Rattus norvegicus: one gene and its partners. The protein of the gene in region 1 interacts with the protein of each later gene in a pairwise test. Links are inferred from orthologs where the notes say so. Each region holds a gene or a part of one and is shown in the gene's direction. Other genes may lie near its edges.

Evidence for each region.
Region 2: the proteins of Ccnd3 (region 1) and Eif3k interact in a two-hybrid assay, tested with the Homo sapiens proteins (2 studies listed by BioGRID and IntAct). The link is inferred for Rattus norvegicus from reciprocal best matches to the Homo sapiens genes CCND3 and EIF3K.
Region 3: the proteins of Ccnd3 (region 1) and Rbl2 interact in a two-hybrid assay, tested with the Homo sapiens proteins (2 studies listed by BioGRID). The link is inferred for Rattus norvegicus from reciprocal best matches to the Homo sapiens genes CCND3 and RBL2.
Region 4: the proteins of Ccnd3 (region 1) and Crabp2 interact in binary tests that used the Homo sapiens proteins (3 or more experiments, as listed by UniProt). The link is inferred for Rattus norvegicus from reciprocal best matches to the Homo sapiens genes CCND3 and CRABP2.
Region 5: the proteins of Ccnd3 (region 1) and Vdr interact in a two-hybrid assay, tested with the Homo sapiens proteins (2 studies listed by BioGRID and IntAct). The link is inferred for Rattus norvegicus from reciprocal best matches to the Homo sapiens genes CCND3 and VDR.
Region 6: the proteins of Ccnd3 (region 1) and Atf5 interact in a two-hybrid assay, tested with the Homo sapiens proteins (2 studies listed by BioGRID and IntAct). The link is inferred for Rattus norvegicus from reciprocal best matches to the Homo sapiens genes CCND3 and ATF5.

The regions. Positions count from the first base shown.
Region 1 is NC_086027.1:20,891,196-20,894,875, reverse strand, and holds the end of Ccnd3 (G1/S-specific cyclin-D3), read left to right. Parts: intron 1-927; coding exon 928-1,087; intron 1,088-1,522; coding exon 1,523-1,659; intron 1,660-2,086; coding exon 2,087-2,254; 3' UTR 2,255-3,180; downstream 3,181-3,680. UniProt on the Homo sapiens protein: Regulatory component of the cyclin D3-CDK4 (DC) complex that phosphorylates and inhibits members of the retinoblastoma (RB) protein family including RB1 and regulates the cell-cycle during G(1)/S transition.
Region 2 is NC_086019.1:93,394,688-93,398,965, reverse strand, and holds the start of Eif3k (eukaryotic translation initiation factor 3 subunit K), read left to right. Parts: upstream 1-1,478; 5' UTR 1,479-1,544; coding exon 1,545-1,603; intron 1,604-2,534; coding exon 2,535-2,633; intron 2,634-4,278. Other genes in the region: Map4k1 (mitogen-activated protein kinase kinase kinase kinase 1), read right to left, coding at 1-33, 194-292. UniProt on the Homo sapiens protein: Component of the eukaryotic translation initiation factor 3 (eIF-3) complex, which is required for several steps in the initiation of protein synthesis.
Region 3 is NC_086037.1:32,061,912-32,065,411, reverse strand, and holds part of Rbl2 (retinoblastoma-like protein 2), read left to right. Parts: intron 1-681; coding exon 682-948; intron 949-1,105; coding exon 1,106-1,386; intron 1,387-1,598; coding exon 1,599-1,775; intron 1,776-3,500. UniProt on the Homo sapiens protein: Key regulator of entry into cell division. Directly involved in heterochromatin formation by maintaining overall chromatin structure and, in particular, that of constitutive heterochromatin by stabilizing histone methylation.
Region 4 is NC_086020.1:175,713,487-175,717,661, forward strand, and holds the start of Crabp2 (cellular retinoic acid-binding protein 2), read left to right. Parts: upstream 1-1,375; 5' UTR 1,376-1,477; coding exon 1,478-1,547; intron 1,548-4,175. UniProt on the Homo sapiens protein: Transports retinoic acid to the nucleus. Regulates the access of retinoic acid to the nuclear retinoic acid receptors.
Region 5 is NC_086025.1:130,866,570-130,869,163, reverse strand, and holds the end of Vdr (vitamin D3 receptor), read left to right. Parts: coding exon 1-16; exon of another isoform or gene 17-980; intron 981-1,158; coding exon 1,159-1,418; 3' UTR 1,419-2,094; downstream 2,095-2,594.
Region 6 is NC_086019.1:104,432,014-104,436,059, reverse strand, and holds Atf5 (cyclic AMP-dependent transcription factor ATF-5), read left to right. Parts: upstream 1-1,264; 5' UTR 1,265-1,281; coding exon 1,282-1,459; intron 1,460-2,711; coding exon 2,712-3,379; 3' UTR 3,380-3,546; downstream 3,547-4,046.

The DNA.
Region 1 (3,680 bases):
GAGTAGGGCTGCGATTTTCATGTCTGGAGATGGGGGAGGGTGTCCACCTAGCCTCAGTGAGGACCACGCATAGTCTTCATTGCCTTTTGGGTGCTGCTCCCTCAGAGGCTGGATGCTAGCTAGCAGAGCCCTGGGTGCGAAATTCAGGCTTCCTTGCCTTACTTCTGGCTCTAGTCCAGGCTGTTTCTGTGGGGTCCTGTAAGACGCCTGGGGCTGACACCTAGGTCATCAGACAAAGAGAGGGACAGCTGTTGCTGGGGGGCCTGGAAGAGGTTGGGTGGGGCTGTCATTTTTACCTCAGTGAGGAGTCAAACCCATGAGTTCCTTCCTGAAATAAAACAATGAAGAAATCCTCCTGTGTGCAACTCGGAAGTGCAACTCAGGCCAGGTCTAGGAACTTCAGATGAGTAGACAGGGGTTGGGGCTCCTCGCCTCCTCCTCCTCCTCGGACCTCTCCATGGTTATGTAGGTTTCTCAGGGGTCATCTGGATTCATCCTGTTTGGCTTGGACTCCCTCGTCCTGAGACAGGACCCACCCATAATGTCCCACAAAGGGGGTGTGGGTTGGGTTGGGCCACCTCCCCTTCGAGGAACCTTAGGAGTGGCCTCATGCTCGTTCTGTTTAAGAGACCTGGCTGCGATGCAGGGTTGGAAGAGATTTCCGAAGCCTGTGGAATTTAGAGTTGGTCTGTTTCAACCCACACCAGCCTCAAATTCATGGGAGGATTAAGAGGGATAGATAACCCATGTCATCCTAGCACCCAGTAACATCAATGGATGCTGACGTGTTTGCCCCCAGATCTTCCCTGCCCCGAACTCATTCCGCAGCACCAGCCCCTGAAGCCAGAGGCAGAACTGTGAGCCTTCTGTCAAATTCTCTTGCCCCTTTGCCAGTCACTGACTCCATGTTCGTTCTCTATCCCCCAGGAATGGGAGGTGCTGGTCCTGGGGAAGCTCAAGTGGGACCTGGCTGCTGTGATTGCGCACGACTTCCTGGCCCTGATTCTGCACCGCCTCTCTCTGCCCAGTGACCGGCAGGCACTGGTCAAAAAGCATGCTCAGACCTTTTTGGCCCTCTGTGCCACAGGTAAAAGCCAACCTGGGGAACTTGTGGTTTTGTTTGGAAGGATAGGTAGTAGCCGGGAGATTGCTTCAATACTCAGAGCTGTGTACGGTGATAATAGTGAGAGGTTACTTGCCTAAGGTCTTCATACCAGGGTTTTAGATAGTCTGTAGTTCCTGACCAGGCGCAACTTGGGTAGATGGAAAGTTTGCTCACATCTCAGAGAAGGTTGGGCTGGGGTAGTGGTTCCGTGATAGTGTGCATGTCTTGGTCAAATTGCCAGCACCATGCGCACACTGAACGCTCTCCTCCCTAGGATCTGCCATTTCCCCATGGCTCTGTCACCCCGTCCACCCCTGGGGATTCCCAGTCTGCTGTATCCATGCAGCCTGGCGTGTAGTAAGGTGTGGTAGGATGTGTAAGATGCCTCTCTTCTCATGGTTCCCTCTCTTTTACAAGATTACACCTTTGCGATGTACCCTCCATCCATGATCGCCACGGGCAGCATCGGGGCTGCAGTGCTAGGCCTGGGTGCCTGCTCTATGTCTGCAGATGAGCTCACAGAGCTGCTGGCGGGAATCACAGGCACTGAAGTGGTAAGTCTCAGGCCCCACTCACAAAAACAGTGCTATTCCCCTGAATCCCCAGCAGAGGGCAGCATCCATCTCCCAACTCCGATTGTATGCCCTTGCCGGCTTCTCTGGCCTTTTATCTCCTGCTCCAGTCTGGAGAGGAGTGGGTGGGGTGACGGACACTTGCATGTAGATGCCCCCCTCTTGGCAAGTGCTGTGCCGCGGCCAGGGGTGGGGGACTTGGTGTCAGATGCAGGGTTGCTCTCACACCCTTGCCACATCCTCTTGCCAGTTTCTGAGAACTAAAGCCCTGATTCCTGGGCTGGGCTGTGGCCTAACCTCCCCAGACTTCACGGTGTGCAGGGGGAGGTCATTCCCTTCTACCTGCCTGTTGTCAGTACTGTGGCCAAGAGTCCCATCAATGGATGATGACCTTGTTTTTTCTTCCTAGGACTGCCTGCGTGCCTGCCAGGAGCAGATCGAAGCTGCCCTCAGGGAGAGCCTCAGGGAAGCTGCTCAGACAGCCCCCAGCCCCGTGCCCAAAGCCCCCCGGGGCTCTAGCAGCCAGGGGCCCAGTCAGACCAGCACTCCCACAGATGTCACAGCCATCCACCTGTAGCTTGGGACAGGCCCCCTCAGGTGGCCACCAAGCAGAGGAGGGGCCCCTGCCACCCCCTCCCTGCCTCTAGGAACAATTCATGCCATATCTGAAGCCCGAGGGGGGCTCTTTTTCCCCTCACAAAGCCCAAGGGGCCAGGTCCTGCCTATCCCCACAGTGTGCACTAAGGGGCTGCTTGGTCATGAGGGTGTCTACATGGCCAGTCAGTTCCTCTTCCTTCCCACTCAACCAGCTTGGCTGTCCTGGGCCATGATGGTCAGAGAGATACAAACAGGTAGAACCCACACACCAGCATTTCTTTTGAGTCCCTCCTCTGTCTGGGGCGCCGATCCTTTCAGTTGCCAAAACGCCCCAGTACCTTCCAAAGGTGTTGTTGCCCCTCGCAGGGTCACTGCATTTGGATCTGGGTCCTTCAGAAATCCCGATAGACGCCTATGAGGAGCCAACCTAGATGGCTGCTGTGTAATCCTACTCCAGCTGCTCTTAGCGGGAACAGCCTAGGCCTTGGCTAGAAGAGCAAGCGCCCGTAAACTGTTGCTTTGCTTCCTGCTATGCTTCTGTGGTTGAGGGTCTTGAGGGTGCTGATGGTCATTTTAATTTATTGCTTTGAATACAACCGTAAGAGGGTACAGTGAGGCCTGTACCCCACAAGTGGTGGTAACCCTGGCGGTTGCTCTTTCCCTCCCCTCTGCTACCGCTTTGTGGCCCAGGAGCTGCTACAGCCTGGGAGGGGGTCCTGCCTTCCTCTCCGTAGCCCTCCAGCTCATCTTCAGCGGGGAGGGTTTAATAGGGATGGATGCCGTGGAGGTGACTGGACTATCCGGAGAGAGGGCGAGCCCCATGGACACAGGTCTTTCCTCAGGCCACAAGGTTTGGGCTGGTGGCCCATTTCTATCATGCTGCCTTAATAAAGATTTCAGAATAAAGCTGGCTCTTGTGATCCCTGGGTTGTAGAGCTGGGAGGCACAAATGAGAGGTCTCAGGCAGAATAAGTACCTTTTCTGGGGAGGGTCAGGAAGGAACTGCTTAGGCTGCATAGGCTGCTTTACCTGGGCACACACACAGATTATAGAGCTGAGGAGTAGCCACCGTAACCCAGAGGGCTCATGGGAAACAGGGATGCAGTTTTATGTAAAACCATACAAAATGCTATACTCCAGCATGGTGGCAAACTTCCCTGGCACACTCAGGGCAGAGGGAGAGGTTCTGGGCTAACCTATGCTACACAGCAAAATCCTGCTGCAAATAAAACCAAACCCCTAGGACCAGATGGGTGGCTCGGCAGCTGAGAGCACTGGCTACTCTTGAGAACCTGGATTTAATTCTCAGCATTTAACTGCAACCATTTTTAACTCCAGTCTTGGGATGTGATGCTGTGCAGGCACAATGCTCAGAATGCATTAAAACCGGATGAATGGGGTTAGGG
Region 2 (4,278 bases), on another chromosome or scaffold:
AGCCACTAGGTCCTTAGACACCTTGTCGCGAGCCTTGTAAAGGGGAAGTTGGCCATCAGGCAGGCACCATAGCTTGCCATCCCCAGCATCTCTGAACCAAGGCCAAAGCCTGGCATTCCTTTACAGTCCTGTTTGTCGGCCTCACCCAGCTCTCCCAGGTTTGATGGTGGAGGAGACAGAAGGGCTTTCTCACCTTGAACACTTCTCCATACGTTCCACCACCCAGTCGCTGCAGTAGATCATAGTGTTCTCGAGGGTCCTTATTAAAGATGTCAGGGTCCACAAGGGCCATCCCTGGAGGCCGGGGCTGGGCCAGTGCCCAGTGGGCCAACAGGGCCTCAGGGCTCAAGCTTTGGTATTACCCTCTGTCTCCACAAGTCCTGGGCCCGCCTTGACTCTGTGGGCTGTGGCCTTCCCCCTCCCCACTCTCGCTTCCTGCCCCAGCTGCAGGGCTGTGCAGAGGGCTCCGCAGAGGGCTCCACCCCCGTCCCCTGGGTTCTGAGAGTTTGATCGCCTTGGGACTGATGGGACTCCCCTTTACTCCCTGAAGGACACTATGTAAATAAGATGCAAAAGTTCTTAAATGCAACCTTGGGCTGACCTAGCTCCCTCTCCCCAACACTCTCCTATTTTGGGAGGAGTCACAGGTTACAGTTGAACCTCTGCTGAGTACTTGAAGATTTGGAGTCAAGCCAGAGGTCGCAGGTCTGCACAAAGCTGGATGAGTAGCAGAGGACTGTTTACTCGTGACACATGCGTGTGACCTAAGTGACAGCTGGGCTCAGGGCACCTGCCCACATGGCACATGTCTCTGCATCGCTTCAAAAGTGTACGGAATCTGTGGCAGACGTGGAACACTTGTTAGCAGTCCCTACGCGGAGCCTGATTGAGACTCCATTGTACCACGGTAGTCCCTCCGGGTGCTGGTATCATTTGCCTTCCCAGCTTCCTAGCAGAGAGCACTGTAGCATCACGGAATGCGAGTGGGGACAAGGGTTTGGAACTTAACGAGGAAGTGAGGATACGGGATGCTATCTTAGGCACCCAAGTCGGAGACAAGAAGGGCTTCAGAGAGCATCTCCCACCCGACTAAACGCAAAGAAAAGAATGGACGCCTTCAAGCGGCTATAGGGATTTATGGCTACGCATGCGTGCAGAGAACTATGTCTCCTTTTCCCGTACAACTCCAGCGCACGCGCATCGGAAGCTTAAGGTTCGTGCGGCCCGGGAAAAGCTTAGCCCGCCTCCTGGCGCCTGCGTAGTAAGGCAGACTATACCTTTCTCACGGTATTGGTCTCTTTTAGGTGTGACCAATGCGCATGCGCAAATTACAACTGCTAGCAGGAAATCATGTGGTAGCAAAAAAAAAAAAAAACCGGCGCGGCTGCCGGAAGCGCCTTTCCCTATGCCTTCCTTGTAGGAACTAGAGAGAGGGTGTGACGTAATTCCGCTTCCACCACGTTTCTTTTTCTTCCGGTCCTTGAGTACTTAGTACCGTAACTGGTGTTCGACTCCAGCTGGGGCTGCAGAAGGCGACAGTGGTCATGGCGATGTTTGAGCAGATGAGAGCAAACGTGGGCAAGTTGCTCAAGGGTATCGACAGGTCTGAGCTCGGCTGGAGGGCGCGCTCTGATCAAGCGGGGTGGAGAAGACGGGAAGCCAGCCCTGGGTGGCTAGGGCTTCACGCTCTTCCAGAGGCGGAGTTTTTCCAAGTTTAGCTTTGTCCCTCAACTTTACCTTTTCTGCTGCCACAGACTCTCGATGTTTCTTAGTTTCTTCCTCCTCTGTCCTTCTTGTGGGCCATCCTACATAATGTTCACTGATTTCTATTTGGCCAGTGGGAACCGGAGGTGATGGAAACAGCCACAGGTCCTGCGTTCCTGGACCTAGGTTCCCATTCCATCCCGGCGACAACCCCTTTTAACAGATAGTGACAGTAAGGAGAGATCAGGGCCTGGCCAGGGCAAGCCACGTATTGACCTAGGCAGGAGAGAGTGGAACTGGGTCAGAACGGAATCCAAGAGAAGGTATTCAGGAACACATAGGGGCTGCAGAGACTGGCTGCGGTTGGAGGCATCTTAGACACGACCCGGGGCTCAAGTAGGGCTAACCAGAGGTCCATGTTGTGAACAAGACTTACTGGAGGTAGTACAGTTGATCAGCTATCTAGGTAGTTTCAGTGGATGGGACTAAATTATTTAAGATCGAATGAATGTAGCTTTATTAAAAAGAATAATAAAGAAAGGAATACCACATGGCTAGAATCAAAGCTGCCGGAAGGAAGAGAGTGAGTTCAGGTTAACAAATTACAGTGGTCCCTAAGTCCTATAATGGGACTGGCCTCTGTTGTTCTCTTCTGTTTACCCATGTCTGTCTGTCTAGTTATCTTCCTTTTTTGAGACAGGTTTTCACTATAAATCCCAGACTAGCTTCAAACTTGCAATCCTCCTGTCCTACCTCAGCCTCCTAGGTACTGGGATGAATGGCATGTATCCACCATGCCAGGGTACTCACCCATCTTAACACCCTACCAGGTACAATCCCGAGAACTTGGCTACCTTGGAGCGGTATGTGGAGACACAGGCCAAGGAGAATGCCTATGATCTAGAAGCCAACCTGGCCGTCCTGAAACTGTGAGTGTCTGTCCCCACCCTCATGCCAGGAGCTAGCTAGCAGAAAGCCACTCTGGATAGGGAACCTGGTGCAGAGGTGCCTGGGGCAAGCTGCAGGGTGTGACTTCTCTTTGTGTGTAAACTAAGGGTCTGAGTGGGGTTGTTTTGTTTTGTTTTGTTTTTAATCCATTCCAAAAACATACAGGGTAATAAACGATTCTCTGTTTCTTGACAGATTATTGTAAATGAACATCCATTTTGTTAGTTCCGCTGGCCCTCAGCTCATGTGCTTTACCCCATCACATCCCTGGCTTAGGTAAACCACTGTTGAGCCCTTATGGCCCAGCCTTGGGTCCAGATCAGCTTAGGTCAGGTCTGTTTGCTTTGAGCTCTGCTGTAATCACATAGCTCAAGCTCTTCCGCACCATGCATCTTCCTCTGGGTTGGAGGCAGCCTTCTTCCATTTTTTTTCTTTACCCATATTCATGAGTGTGTGTGTGTGTGTGTGTGTGTGTGTGTGTGTGTGTGTGTGTGTGTGTAGGGGCTGTGTGTGCACACATGCATGTGGCTTGAGGTTGATATCAACCAGTCATCTTCAATCATTCTTCCACTTTATTCAGAGTCAGAGCCCAGAATTCACCAACACAGCTTGTCTGGCTAACCAGCTTGCTCTTGGCATCCCTGTGGTAACATCTTCAGAGACTGGAGTGCCAGGCAGGCTGCCGTGCCTACCTGGCATAAACATTTTATTATTTTTTAAAGATTTATTTATTATATACAAGTACACTGTCGCTGCCTTCAGACACACCAGAAGAGGGCATTCGATCCCATTACAGATGGTTGTGAGCCACCATGTTGTTGCTGGGATTTGAACTCAGGACCTCTGGAAGAACAGCCAGTGCTCCTAACCTCTGAGCCAACTCTCCAGCCCTATTTTATTCTTTTAAATTCATTTTGTTTTATGAGTGTGAGGGCAAGGGTGGCGGTCCAAGGACAACCTGAAGTGGTCAATCTTGCTTTCCACCGGTTTGTTTTGCTGAGTCCTGGCACTCCTGCTATAGACCAGGGTGGCCTTGGGACTAAGGACACCATGTCCGGCACTTTCCACCTTTCTGATTTCTGCTTCTGAATGCTGATTGGCCTGCACACTTCTAGAAGATTCTGTTTCTCGTCTCCCCATGGCAGCACTGGGGCAAACTCACTGAATCCTGTTTTATGAGTCCAGATTTAGCTTAGATCAGTGAGTTTACACCGTAAGTGTTTATACTGACTAAGCCATCTCTGGTCCTTTTTCTTGTTTTCTTAATTTATTTGCTTATTTTTAGCCAGGGTCCTGTAGCTGTCAGTGGCTTTGAACTTGCTATCAAGATGACATTGAACTCCTCCTCCCAAGTGCTGTCATGATGAACACGTGCCATCATCCGGCTTGCGTTCTCTGAGACCCACCCAGCACTTTACTGTAGAGCTCAGGCTGACCTCGAACTCCTGGGGCTCCTGTGCCTCAGACTTTCGAGTACACGCATCATGTGCTACCACACCCGGATGCCTCCCGTGCTTGCTTTTTTTTTTTTTTTTTTTCCTTTTTTTCGGAGCTGGGGACCGAACCCAGGGCCTTGCGCTTGCTAGGCAAGCGCTCTACCACTGAACTAAATTCCCAACCCCCCTC
Region 3 (3,500 bases), on another chromosome or scaffold:
AAGCCATTGGGTGAAATGTATGGTACATGAGTCATGTCTCAATAAAGCTGTTTAAAACTAAGTTTTAAATCTAAACCATACATGTCTATCTTGCTGAAGAATATGGGGTTGGTCATCTTCCCTTGCGGAAAAAGGCTGAACATTCACTGAAGGCTGAGGAGAAACCACAGGACGCAGGATGGCAGGCAGGTCATCCTGTCTCCTGCTAGGTAACATCTTTGTTAAGACTTGAGTATGGAGGGGTTGGGGATTTGGCTCAGTGGCAGAGCGCTAGCCTAGGAAGCACAAGGCCCTGGGTTCGGTCCCCAGCTCCAAAAAAAAAAAAAAAAAAAGAACCAAAAAAAAAAAAAAAAAGACTTGAGTATGGGGGAAAGTAAGTGATTCCTTAACCGGCCTCTTCATCAAAGTCAGCAAGGGACAAGGCGGTTGAGGACAGGGCCTCGCTTCATTTATGGGAAGAAAACCAGAAAGAGAGCACTGTGGGACATAGCATTTCCTTCATGAAACGCTTTCAGTTACATTCCTGCTAGGATGAATATGGGTGTACCATGACTTCTGTACTTTTTATTTGCTTTTAAAATTATGAAGTATTTGAAACACACTGAATTTCTTTTGAACAAGAGCTTAGCTAGAAGTCAGAACTGTCTCTTTGTTAAATAGTCTGATTTCTTTTGATCGTAGGTGTGACATCTCCAACCACATTGTATGACAGGTACAGTTCCCCAACAGTCAGTACTACTAGAAGGCGGCTATTTGAGAGTGACAGTCCCTCTGAAGGAAGCACGGCTGGGCGCATCCCCCCACAACCCCTAGTCAATGCTGTCCCTGTGCAGAATGTATCTGGGGAGACTGTTTCTGTCACACCAGTTCCTGGACAGACCTTGGTCACCATGGCAACAGCCACTGTCACAGCCAACAATGGACAAACAGTGACCATTCCAGTACAAGGTAAGGAAGGCAGGGTTAGGGGTTGAGTTCTCTGGCATTTGTCAGAAAGTCACCTAAGTTTGGGAAGTGTCAATGTAAGATAATGATGGAAGACGGGGGGCGGGGGGAAATAAAACCTTCATGTCGACCATTCTTTCTTCTTTGTAATAAACCGCAGGTATTGCCAACGAAAATGGAGGGATAACATTCTTCCCAGTCCAAGTGAATGTTGGGGGCCAGGCACAGGCTGTGACTGGCTCTATCCAGCCCCTCAGTGCTCAAGCGCTGGCTGGAAGTCTGAGTTCCCAACAGGTGACAGGAACAACTTTGCAAGTCCCCGGTCCGGTGGCCATTCAACAAATTTCCCCTGGAGGACAACAGCAGAACCAAGGCCAGCCGTTAACCAGCAGCAGTATCAGGCCTCGGAAGACTAGCTCCTTATCACTTTTCTTTAGAAAGGTAACCTTTCATGTACCCTTACTGGAGCACAGGCTCAGGAAGTGTAAGCATTAAACAAGGTTTGAAATATTCTTTTTGTTTTTGTTTTTGTTTTTTTTGTTTTTTTTCCGGAGCTGAGGACCAAACCCAGGGCCTTGTGCTTGCTATGCAAGCGCTCTACCACTGAGCTAAATCCCCAACCCCGGTTTGAAATATTCTTATCTCTCTGTTAGGTTTACTACTTAGCTGGTGTCCGCCTTCGAGACCTTTGCACAAAACTAGATATTTCAGATGAACTGAGGAAAAAAATTTGGACCTGCTTTGAATTCTCTATAGTCCAGTGTCCTGAACTTATGATGGACAGACATCTGGACCAGTTGTTAATGTGTGCCATTTACGTGATGGCAAAGGTAAGTACTATTTTTAGTACTGGAAAGCCAATGATGCCCCTTTGTTCCCTAGAACATTTTTAGATAACCACTCACCGAGTCTCATATCCCAAATATGTGCTGTCAGCAGAGCTTTAGAACAATCCAGCTTATAGACATTGGGCAGTAATTTTTATCCATCAATTAATAGACATGTGGGTTGTTCCTCACAGTTGTGAACAGCACTGTTGTATACATTGTGGGTGAAATTTGTGTAGACACAGGCTTCCGTTTCCCTCAGAGTAAATGCCTAGAAATGGATCTGTGGATCATATGGGAACTGTATGTTTAAACACAAAGGAACTGCCAGGCTACTTCTCAGAGTATGGTTCACATGTTTATATCCCTATTTAATATATAAAGTTCTTAATTCCTCTAGTTTCCCATTAGTACTTAAAAAAGATTTACTATATGTTTGGAGGGGGAGGGAGTTTTTGCCCTGAGAATTCATTGCCAAATTTGAGATCCAGTATCGTGAGGCTTTACCTTGTCTAGAAGATTCTAGAAGAGTCTGCATTCCAGAGTTCCTGACTCATCGTTAGATGTGGTATGAGATCCAAGTCCAGCTTCACTCTTTTTGTGTTGCTTTCTGGCCACCACACCACTATTTAAGCCCCATCTCCCCACTGAATGAATGGTTTTGGCATGTTTGTGTTAGCAGACACATGGTTATGTCATGTAGTGGACACATGGGTTATGTCAAGACCGTCTATTTGACTATGTTGATCTTTGTCCATCATACGTAGACCTTTACACTCTCAATGACTCTTGCTTTTCTATAAATTTTGAAACTGGAAAATACGAGTCCTAATTTTATTTTATTTTTGATTATTTTAGTTATTCTGAGTCCCTTGGAATTCCATAAAAGTTTTAGAATCAAGTTGTCACTGTCATAAAAGTCACGTGAAAATCTGTAGATCAGTTTGGAGAATTCAGTCATGTAGGGGTCAGTCTTCCTTCAGGAACGTGGTGTGTTCTCACATTTGTTTAGGTCTTCAGTTTTTAACAATGACCCATACTTTCAACACGTAGTCTCCCCCTTGTTGTTTTTCCTGTAGGTTTTGATGGTATTGTACATGTAGCTGTTTCGTTTTTGATGTACTCATTCCAAGAGTTCAGAAAACAGTTGGATTCTGGGCCTTGACTTAGTATCCAACAACCTTGCTAAGTTGGTTGTTTTTTGTGGTGCAGGGATTGAACCTAGGGCTGTTAAAATGCAAGACAAGCACTCTACACTCAGCTGTCTCTAGTCCTGAAACTCTTACTGGGTTCTAAGCATATTTTGTGTCAACTGTTTTGATGGGCAGATAATGCGGTCTTAATAATTATACTATTACTTGTCCAAATTCCCTGTCTTTCTTAATTGCCATGGTTAGAACATCCAGTGCAATGTAAAAAGCAGAAATCCTTGTATGCTTCCTGGCCTTACAGAGAAAATAATTAACTAGTCTTTCCCTATCGGAATATGGCATTAGATCTCTCTCCACCCCACCTGTGAGTGACCTCAGGTAGGCCGCTCTCACCCGGTGAAGGATTTTACTTATTGTTGTTTGATAAAAAGGTGTTGGATATTATTAAAGGCCCTTTTCTGTATTCATTGTGGGGTTTGCTATGCTAATGACATCGTATACTACATTAGTTGGATTTCACGTCAGATCACCTTTGCAAATCTCTTGGCTTATGGCAACAATTTTGGATTGCACGTTT
Region 4 (4,175 bases), on another chromosome or scaffold:
GAGGTAGCCTTCCTCCCTCATCCTTTCAAGTTTTCCACACTCCATTGTTGGGATTGCCTCGATGTAGGCCTGATTCGCATGACACTGGCCTCTGGTTGAGGTTAATCCTCCAGGCCCTGTCCTCAGCTCAGTTCGACCCTCCACCAAAGCCTGTCAGTCCCCAATTCACAGGTCAGGGCTGCCTGCTCCAACCTTGGCCACCTAGACAAGGAGGGGCTAGGCGGGGATCCTATTTGAGATCCTGAGGGGACTACAGGGAGGGCCCCGGGAGGCTGGGGGCAAACGCCCAAGCAAGGGCAATCGCTTCTAGCTGCAGCATAGAGCGGCGGCGTGGTTTCTGGCTTTGGGTTACCGGCATGCCTCCGAGGTCTCGCCTGTCCTTTCTGCTCCTGTCTCTCCGCCTTTCCACTAGGGTCTCACCCACTTAAAAAAAATCACCCTCGGAGAGGCTGGCCCGCCGCACTTTAAACTCTGAACCGGGACATCTCAGACCCACCCCTTCCCTGCACAGCCAGCCTTCCCCCAACGCCAGTGGCACCGCGGCATGCGGAGTGGGGGGGGGGGCGGGGCGGGGAGCGATTGGCGTCTTTTCCCCCCTCGTGGCCCAGGGGGCCCAGGGAAGCGTAGCCACCGAGAAAGCGCCTTAATAAAGAGTCTTGTCAAGTGATTGGCTGTGACCTCTGCCCTTCTAGCCTCGAGCCGGGGGCTCCTGCTTAACCCTTCATTGTCCGTCCAATGCTTGGAGAGGAATGAATGAGTTGCCTTGTGCTCACTTCAGGCGTCCCCAGGCACTGCTCGAACCCAGGGCTGAGTCAAGGGGTAGAGAACAGAGCGGCACCTCCCAGTCACCCAAAGGAACGCTTGACTTCCGTGCTGTTCCATTGGGTCCATTTCGACTGCTGGTTGCCGGGGGCCCCAATTCTTGCATGAGTGGGGTCTCCAGATGTCTGGCGCCGAGCTGTTCAGAGCACCGAGTCTGGTAGAGGACTAGTAGAGGGCTGGTGAAATGGGACCTGTGTTCGCCCTGCAGGCCGAGAGACCGGAGCAACCATGACCCAGGCAGGCTAACTGTGCCCTGGGCTTGCCAGAGGCACAAACCTCGTTCTTGTCTTCTGATGCTTCCCCATCCGCCTACTGATGCGGGAGAAGGGTATCTTGGCCCTTAGAGAACCCTGGACCCACCCACAGTTCTAGAAACAGGCGGGATTCCGGAAAGGATGGGGGTGAAGTGGTCACAGAGCAGGGCCCCCAGGTGGTGCGGAAGGCGGGGCGGGGGCGGGGCCGTCTCATGCACCAGCTGGGTATAAAAGCCTAGAGCTCTGGCGCCCAGCGGCTGTGCAATTGTCCTCCACGCGGCTTGGTCCCCAGGTGGAAGGATCTGTTCTGCAAAGGGGACAGCAAGGTACCTTTAGGCTAAAGGACTCGGCGTCCAGTATTCTAGTTGAAGATCTAAAGAGAAAGCCACCTTGCTGCCACTATGCCTAACTTTTCTGGCAACTGGAAGATCATCCGATCGGAAAACTTTGAAGAAATGCTAAAAGCTCTGGGTAAGGAGGTTTTCATGAGTTGGGAAGGGGGGCAAAAAGGGCGCTGGGGTCTTTAGAACTGAGGCCGAATAAACGAAAGGAGGCCGAATCAGGGAGTGGGTGCCTGGGAGTCTGCATCCCAGAAAAGGGGCGTGCCGGATACCCTGGGTCCTAGGGCACTAGGCCCAAGACTTAAATCCTACTTTCTGAGGCTGGGCTCCCACCGGTGCCAGCTTCAACGGTGACTCAGAGCCTGTGAATCAAGTAAAAACCAAGAGCACGAGGTTAGTCTCAGGAGGGTTTGACTAGCCTCGGCGCCTGGACCTGCTGACCAGGACACCTGGCTCTGAGCTTTGAGAATCCAGTATTCAGGCAGGGAGCCCTTAGGAGACATTCCAAGCTCTTTCCACGTACCCTAACAGTAACCCAATCCGGGCGACAGGTCCATTACCCTCAACGCTTGGCTCCGCCCACCAGGTGGTCCACCACTTCACCTCCCAGACCCTCCCCCACACCTTGCACTTCCCACTCCAGTCTCCCCACCCCACCGCCACCTGTGAGACAAATATTTTCCTACAGCAACCGGCTCCAAAGCCCTAAAACCCGCTCCGGACAATTACCACTTTCTTGGATTTCAACAAATGTCGTCGTGTGAAACACCAATCCCCATTTCCGAAAGTCTAGGATTGCCTCCCTCCTAGCCACGGACCAGCTGCACCCTGCGCAACTTGGCTGTTAGCCAAGGGTGGGAACACAGAATCCACCCAGACTTTCCCTGCCCAACTTCGTTTACCTTCTAGGATGGGACTGGGCTAGAAGGTATAGGGCAGGAGAGACATCTGAGGAGAGATGGAGTTAACCGCCCCAGGCTGTGGAAACTACCCTAGAACCTAAGGGTCAAGACGCCTTCCATTTCTGCAGTGGAGGGGAGCCCGGGTTGGAGGGAAACAGGGGATATCCTTGAAGAGCTAGGAACTATACAAAAGTGAATCTGGAGCTAAAAAGAATGCCGTGAGGGCAGTAGGGCCTCCGTTCTCATCTTTCCTTGCTGTTAGTTCTTTGTGTCAGCTAACCGCAATGATTCTTAGAGTCATATCCACTTTTCCTGCTCCGCCCTTGCGAAATTAAAGATCTAAGAACAGAAATTTTCAGAAAATCTATTACCATTCCTTCCCCCATTTGCTCTGAATTCTGGCCCCTCTCCCCAGTGGATGTGGGAGGCTGGCATCACCCCCAGGTTCCAGCCGGAGAGAAAGGCCCAACCCTATTGTCTGCCTTCAGAATGTTTGTCCTCCCTGCAGGGTCTCTCTGAGCCACGCGACTTGCTAGGGGGTAGATTGCAAACAGACCCGTTGTTACACAAACTGCCTATGTCAGCCAAGGTCAGCTGAGCCAGGACCCCAGCTCTGCAGGCACCAAGGACTAAGGGAGGTGGGGTTCTTCTGAACACAGCCTCCGAAGACTCCACAGTTCCGTTCAGGGTCCATTTTATGGAGGAGTCTCAGGGCTCACCATGATAATCACTGCAAACACAGCAGGTCTTTCAGTTGAGACTGGGTGAGTCAGCTTTGGCGCTGAGTGAAGTGTCCAGTTTTCTTCTCAGGAACCCAGAGCTATAAGATGCATGAGTATTTGTGTGAGTATATGGGGGTGGGGTGGGACCTAGCACAGTGGCAGTGTCTTGTCCCCTGTAGCACCCTGAAGGGCTAGTTCTCCATCATGTCACCAGGCTTAGAGAGGTTGGTGCCCCTACCTTCTGGTCATCCCAGCAGAGGGACGCTCTCCTTCATAACTAGAGGGTGGGGACAGGGAAGGGAAAGTATATGAGGACACAGAGACTCTAAATACACAGAGGCTGAGTGGGAAGGCCTTTGGATGATGTCAGAGAGGGGGTGGGACAGTACCATCCTTTCTTCCCCCTTCCTTCCTTCAGGACAGCAGAGCTTTCCCTTGAAAGAGACCTGGGGGGGCTGGGGATTTAGCTCAGTGGTAGAGCGCTTACCTAGGAAGCGCAAGGCCCTGGGTTCGGTCCCCAGCTCCGAAAAAAAGAACAAAAAAAAAAAAAAAAAAAAAAAAAAAAGAGACCTGGGACATTGCAGAGAGAGTCTGGTGCAGGAAACTTTGTTCAAGCCCAGTTTGGGCTTTTTCTTTTTTATTTGTATATATCGCCTGCATGTAATAATGGGTTTCACTATGTCCTGGCTTTTTTTTTTTTTTTAATGGTTTTTTTGAGTCAGGGTTTCTCCGTATATTCCTGGCTGTTCTGGAACTCACCCTGTAGACCAGGCTGGTGAGCTTGAACTCAGACATCCCCCTGCCTCTGCCTCCCAAAAGGTGTCCACCACCATGCCCCGCCCTGCTAGGCTGTGGCTCTTTCTTTCATTGTGTTTGCTTTTATCTAAAAAAAATAAAAGTTTCCAGAAAACATGAATGTGTACTTGGCCTTGTGTACCCTAAATTCTTAAACATGGAGCCATAGGACAATTAGAAAAAGCTATTTTTTTGACAGTTGAGGAATTTAAAGTCAGAAAAGTTTAAGCCCAGGGTCACCCCGTTTTCACCTGTACCTTCCTCTGCTGAGAATCTGCTCCTCGGTTTTGGGAGGGGCAGGGATTGTGCAAATAAAGACCTACCAGGGTAGAGACCTAA
Region 5 (2,594 bases), on another chromosome or scaffold:
TGCATTGTCTCCCCGGGTACGGAGCCTGGCAGGGAGGAGCTGAGGGACCTGGGACACGTTGGGGACTGTGAATGACAGAGAGCTTCTCAGAGCCAGCAGGGAAGTCTGGGGGAGGAATGAACGAGAGAAGTGACAAGGAAATGTTCACTTTGCTGGGTTTGCACAGCCCAGAAGGCCTGTGGAGGGGTCGCTTGACACATGTGGCTTTGTCTTATGCAGGCCAAGGTGATTCATAGGATTCTGAGGAACCAGATGAGCAGGGTTCCACAGCTTATTCATGGGACTTGGGTGTTCCTAATACTCAGGCTCTGTTCTTGCGTGACCTCGGATGAACTTTCCAGTCTCCTGAGTTCCTCCGATGCAGGCACAAATCCTTGGGGACTAATATATGCTTCTGCCTGAGTTGACTTTGGAGGCTGGAGGCTGTAACCCAAAGGGAGGAGACACTGAGAAGGAAGTTGTTGTGATCTTGAAGAAATTGGTGATAAAACCCAAAGAACAGAGCCCTGACTCAGCCTGGACCATGTGTGCACAGGGGACAAACTAGTGGCCTATGGCCAGGAATGCCTAGTCTGAAGGCCCAAAGGACAGACATATGCCTCCCTCCTGCTGTCTAGCTGACGTGTGTTCACTTATTCACACGCTCAGTAATGATTAACTGAGCATCTACTATGGCCAGACACTGGGCTAGGCACAGGGAGTTGCAGTAAAAAGGATAGACTTCTCTCCCATGAGAGTTAAAGGAAAACAAAATATTACGAGAATGTTGAATATGAAGATGCTGCCGGAGAGATCCTGGTATAGGTCACGGGGGCGTGGAGATGGAGGGTTACCAGGAACGACCTTCTTCAGAAAGCGCTTTGCGCCTGTTCCGTGATAACCGGTTGGTCAGGGGGGAAAGACGAGAGCTGATTTCCAGGCAACGGGGAGGTCTGTTAGCCAGAGTAGGAAGTACCTGAGTTCCAAAGCAAGGACTGAACCTAGAGACAGAAGAAGTAGGGTGAGGTGGGAACAGGACCAAATGAGCCCGCGAAAGGATTTGGTCCCAAATGCAGGGGATGTCATCAGGGGGATGCTGGCATGGGGTACCTGGGTGATGGTGGATTCTGTGAAACTGAACAGTGAACATCCTGTCTCCCTCCATCCCCTGGGACACAGACCGACCTGGGGTCCAGGACGCCAAGCTGGTGGAAGCCATTCAGGACCGCCTATCCAACACGCTGCAGACCTACATCCGCTGCCGCCACCCGCCCCCAGGCAGCCACCAGCTCTATGCCAAGATGATCCAGAAACTGGCCGACCTGCGGAGCCTCAACGAGGAACACTCCAAACAATACCGCTCCCTCTCCTTCCAGCCCGAGAATAGCATGAAGCTCACACCCCTTGTGCTGGAGGTGTTCGGCAATGAGATCTCCTGACCAGGGTGGCCCACAGTGGTGCCTGGGTAGGGCCGCTCCTCCAGAGCCCTGTGCCCAGGCCCTGGGCTGGTTGCAGCCCAGCAGTGCCTCCTGCCCTTTCTGGAGTTCAGTCCTTCCTCTGCCATGGCCTCTGTCTGTCTGCCTCATCCTTTCTCCTGCCCAGCCTAACACCTGGTCTCCCTTTCCTGTAGACCTCGAGTTGCTCCTGTCTCTTGAGACCTCAGTTAGGAGAGGCTGCTGTTTATCTGACAAAGGAACTCAATTGGGGATAGAGGGCAGGGGCTGAAGGCAGAACTCTGCCTAGGGGATGCCTCCACCACAAGGGGCTGCTGCTTGTGTCAAGGGAGGCAGGCAGAAGAGACGCATTCACTCCTCAGGGACAGGTACCTGCACCTCCCCTCACTCCAGCCCTACCTGCCCAAAGCCTGGTGAGAAATCTGGCCCCTGCCTGCGAAGGGTACACAACCTACCCATCATCCCTACTGTGTCCCGTCTCATCCTGCCGCCTGTCTGTGTTATTCTGACCCGGGGGAGTAGGTCACTGAGGGGCCTCCTTCCTCTGCCTTTATACTCACGGGGCTCACTCACTGCCAAGATGACCAAATACACTACCACACGAACCAAGGAGCACTCACCCAGCCCTGCAGTTCCCACCTTTGAGGTTTTGCCATGGGAATTCCCCAGGGCCAGTACCTGTGGTACAGGGGGCTTCTTCCCCATGCCCAGAACCAGGGACCTAGAAACCACCATTGGAAAGGCCCCAGGAGATAGAATACAGGGCCCAAGTAATGAAGAACAGAGAAAGTCAGCCTCCCAGCAGAACAATGAATGAAGGTCCATCTATCTTGGTCATCAAGCTGAGGGTTCTGAAGCCTGGAGCTGTTGGGACCTCTCCTCTATAGCTATTAGATGTGTCAGGACCAAGTTGTCCCCAACTTTCAGGAAATCCATAGCCCTGTCTCCATCCCTTACCCCGCCAGTGTTTTACCACCTACCCAAGAAAGCAGGTCCTCTGGCCTCACACGACCTCCCAATTTGACCACCAGGAGTATCCCGGGAGTCATCTTGGCAGCAGTGCCCCCCACACACACACACACCAATGAGAGCTACCTTGTCCGCCCAATAGAATGGGATGGGAGAAGACCAACAGCTGCCCAAATGGGCCTCCGAGCCTCC
Region 6 (4,046 bases), on another chromosome or scaffold:
CTCTTCAACTGAGGCCGCCGCCGCCGTTGCCTCCTCTCCTTTTCGCAGCCATGGAGTGAGTAACCGCTCGCCCCTCCCTCTCCAACCGCCTTTCCCGCCCTTTCACAGAGCTCGCGGGGCTTCACGGGTCAGCCTCGTGGGGAGGGGGTGGGGAAGACGATATGAGGAACCACGGTCGCGCAGGCGCAGAAGAGGGAAGTCGGTGGCCGGCGCATCCGCTGAGCAAGCGCACTAGGCTCCAGGCGTGGGGGAGGGTGTGCTTCCGCAGAGTCTGGGGGCTTTTAAGGTCGGTTCGCGCGCCATTGCGCCTGCGCACTAATTCACAGACCCTCTTCCTCCTTTCCCCTCAGAGGATACGAACCCACACTCTATTGCGCATGCGCATTACCTTATTCCCGGCCTGAACTACGGAGGGCGGCCGGTAATTGGCTAAACACACGCACTGGTCCCCCCAGGAGGGTAGTGGCGTAACAATGAATCCGGTCCAGGGTCTGAGCTTTCGTCTTGCGGCTTAGCGAGCAATCAGCGAGGAAGGGTGGAGTTCCTCGAGGCTCTGACACTGGTCCAACTTCCCTCCAATCAGGCACCTGCTGGGGCGGGGACTGGCTTAGATTGACAGGGAAGGCTAAAGAACACCTTTAAGAAAGACTTGGAGCTAGAACCAAGGGGCGGGGCCTCTAGGGACTTGCTAGTTGGGGGCGGGAACTGACTTGACAGACAGGAGTGTGGGCGGGGCTTCCCGTAGAATCTGTAGAAGTCACCTAAAACTTTTAAGGGAAGAGTGGGATTTGTGTGTGTAACACTGATGAAGGGCCCAAGGCATGGCAGAATTATTCTGGGAACCCCTGTGAACTCTAAAGGGCGTATAGTCTAAAGAAAATATTGATGCGGAAGGGGCACGGCTAGAAGAAAATAAAATTACCTTGGGATTGAATTTTTTTACGAAGAGCAATAAGATGAGGTAGGTAGGAGGGGCTGGAAGTAATTCCCCTGGGAGAACACTAGGTTTCTGTGTTGAGGGAGGAGATGGGGCTGGGGAGTTTCCAAAAGTTGCCTTGGGAATGTATGGAGCTCTGGAATTTGCAGAAAGAAGAAAAGTGTGGGTAGCTTGTGGGTCAAGCAGCTTTGACTCAACCCCACCCACGCCACCTTGTCTTCCTCACAGGCCCTCCACCTTCGCCTTGGTGCCTGTCTTCACCCAGCTGAACAATCTTCCACGCTGCCTCCCAGTTGTTGGTGCAGCCTCCATTGCCATCGCAGCCCTGCACCTGTGCCTCAGCCATGTCACTCCTGGCGACCCTGGGACTGGAGCTGGACAGGGCCCTGCTCCCAGCTAGCGGGCTGGGCTGGCTCGTAGACTATGGGAAACTCCCCCTGGCCCCTGCCCCCCTGGGCCCCTATGAGGTCCTTGGGGGTGCCCTGGAGGGCGGGCTTCCAGGGGGGGGAGAGCCCCTGGCAGGTAAGAAACAGGTGAAAAAGAGAGGTGGGTTAAGGTGGCGGGGTGTGGAAGGACAGAAAAGGAAGGATTTATTCATTCACAAGATCAGTACAGAGGGCCTGCAGTGTGCCCAGCCCTGTTCTTCATGTGCAAGGTGCAGAGCAAGGGATACCAAAGCTCGTGGAAGCATCAGGAGACAGAGGTGGGAAGCCAAAGCTTAGCTGAAAGGAAGACATGGTTGAGAAGTCAGCCTTCTCTAAGTAGACAACCTCTGGATTGAGGGCTAAGGGATGGGCAAAGGGAGCCATGATAAGTCCTGAGGGGAGCGCTATCTCAGAGATTCTGAGGCAGGCAGTCAACAGATGGTTGTCCTAGACTGTGCCTGGTGGCTTATGTCCATAACTTCCCCTGTTAGAGGCTTCTCATCCTCTTGAGCCCAGGCCAACCTAGGCAGCCTGGTAAGAACATAGTTGTCAAACATCTGAGAAACACAAAAGGAGAGCAAATAAAGATGGAGAGAGTCACGCCCACACACGCAAACACACAGAGGGGGGAGGGAGGAGAGAAAGTGTGTGAGTATAATCCCAGCACTCTGGGAGAGAGTCAGAAGTTTAAGGGTTGTCCTCAGCTACAGACTACAGAACAGGTCCAAGGCTATCCTAGTCTACACAAGACTCTGTCGACAATAGATAAGTAAACAAGTGAGGGAAAGAGAGGAGACACTAGTGTGGGGTGCAGTCGACCAACCTGGTCAAGGAGAAGGATTATAGAGATGGGAGCTGACCTTCGTCGGGTGGGCCATTAGTTGGGCGAGTGCTTCACTGAGTGGCTGACTGATTATTTCATCGGTTAGTTGGTCAATTAATCGGTTGGTTGACTGATTTGAATCATTGGTTGGCTTGTTCATTGATTGGCTAATGAGTTGATTAGTTTATTAGCAGGTGGCCTGGTGAACTGATTGGATGATTGGCTGGCTGTCTTGTTCATTGATTAATGATTTGTTGGGTGGTTGGCTGATGAACTAGGTATGATTGGCTGGCTGGCTGGCTGGTTGGTTAGTTCATTAGTTAGTGGCTTGATGGGTAAACTAGCTAGCTGGTTGGTTGATTGGTTGATTAGTTTCTTCCCTAACTCACTGGTTGCTGACAGGTCTATAGATTGGATGGTTGGCTGGCTGGTCACTTGTCACATTGAGTGAATGGGGCATGAATGAACACCAAGTGGATAAAGCACAGACCTTAGAGATTTTTATGTCCTCCCCCCACATCCTCAGGTGACGGCTTCTCTGATTGGATGACCGAGCGGGTGGACTTCACAGCCCTCCTTCCTCTGGAGGCCCCTCTGCCCCCAGGCACTCTCCCCCCACCCTCCCCTGCCCCCCCTGACCTGGAAGCCATGGCATCCCTACTCAAGAAGGAGCTAGAACAGATGGAAGACTTCTTCCTTGATGCCCCACTCCTTCCACCGCCCTCCCCACCTCCACCCCCACCCCCAGCACCCTCTCTGCCCCTGCCCTTACCCTTGCCCACCTTTGATCTCCCGCAGCCTCCTACCCTGGATACCCTGGACTTGCTAGCTGTTTACTGCCGCAGTGAGGCTGGGCCAGGGGATTCAGGCTTGACAACCCTGCCTGTCCCCCAGCAGCCTCCTCCTCTGGCCCCTCTGCCTTCACCCTCCCGACCAGCCCCCTATCCTAGTCCTGCCAGCACCCGAGGGGACCGCAAGCAAAAGAAGAGAGACCAGAATAAGTCAGCTGCTCTCAGGTACCGCCAGAGGAAGCGGGCAGAGGGCGAGGCCCTGGAGGGCGAGTGCCAAGGGCTAGAGGCGCGGAATCGGGAGCTGAGGGAGAGGGCAGAGTCAGTGGAACGGGAGATCCAGTATGTGAAGGATCTGCTAATTGAGGTGTATAAGGCACGAAGCCAGAGGACCCGCAGTGCCTAGGGTACAGGAGGAGGCAGTTCTGGTGTACCTGTGCCTCCAGCTTCACCCTGTCCCTCCATTTCACTTCCCTGTGCATCCGTGTCTAGGTCTCCCCTCTGCCTATCCCCATTATGGGTTATTTGGCATAGTCAGTTTCTGTACCCCTTCAGTGCAACTGAGAAACCAAGGCCCTCAGGGAATCAGAGGAGCCAGCCTGATCCCTGGTCTCTGGAGTCTTAAAACAAGTGTGTTTTTGCAGGTAGTCCTAGTTGGGTGTCGGGGGGAGGCTGCCAGGCCTGGCATGGACATTAGGCAGGAAGCCACTCTGGATGATTGTGCACATGAGAACCTAGTCAGGGAGGGAGGGTTTTAAGGAGAGGACTTAGAATACAAGTGAGAAGCCAGCCGAGGAAAGGGAACCAAGTCCTCAGAATAGAAGGCTATACTGGCCTAGGGACAGGAAGGGGTGGCTGTAGTTGGTAACTAGGGTGTCATTTTAGCTCTGTGAGAGAATCAGTGTTTTGTGAAGGTGTGGGGGAAGGGTTGCATCTGGTGGGGGCTGATCCTCCAGGGGTTGTGGGCTCAAATAAAATGCAGACTTTCCTGTGGCCTGTGTGTCTGTCTTTGAGAGGGGACTGGGGAGACTGAGTCTGGGGGTAGTCATAAAGACAACGGAGAATAAACCAAA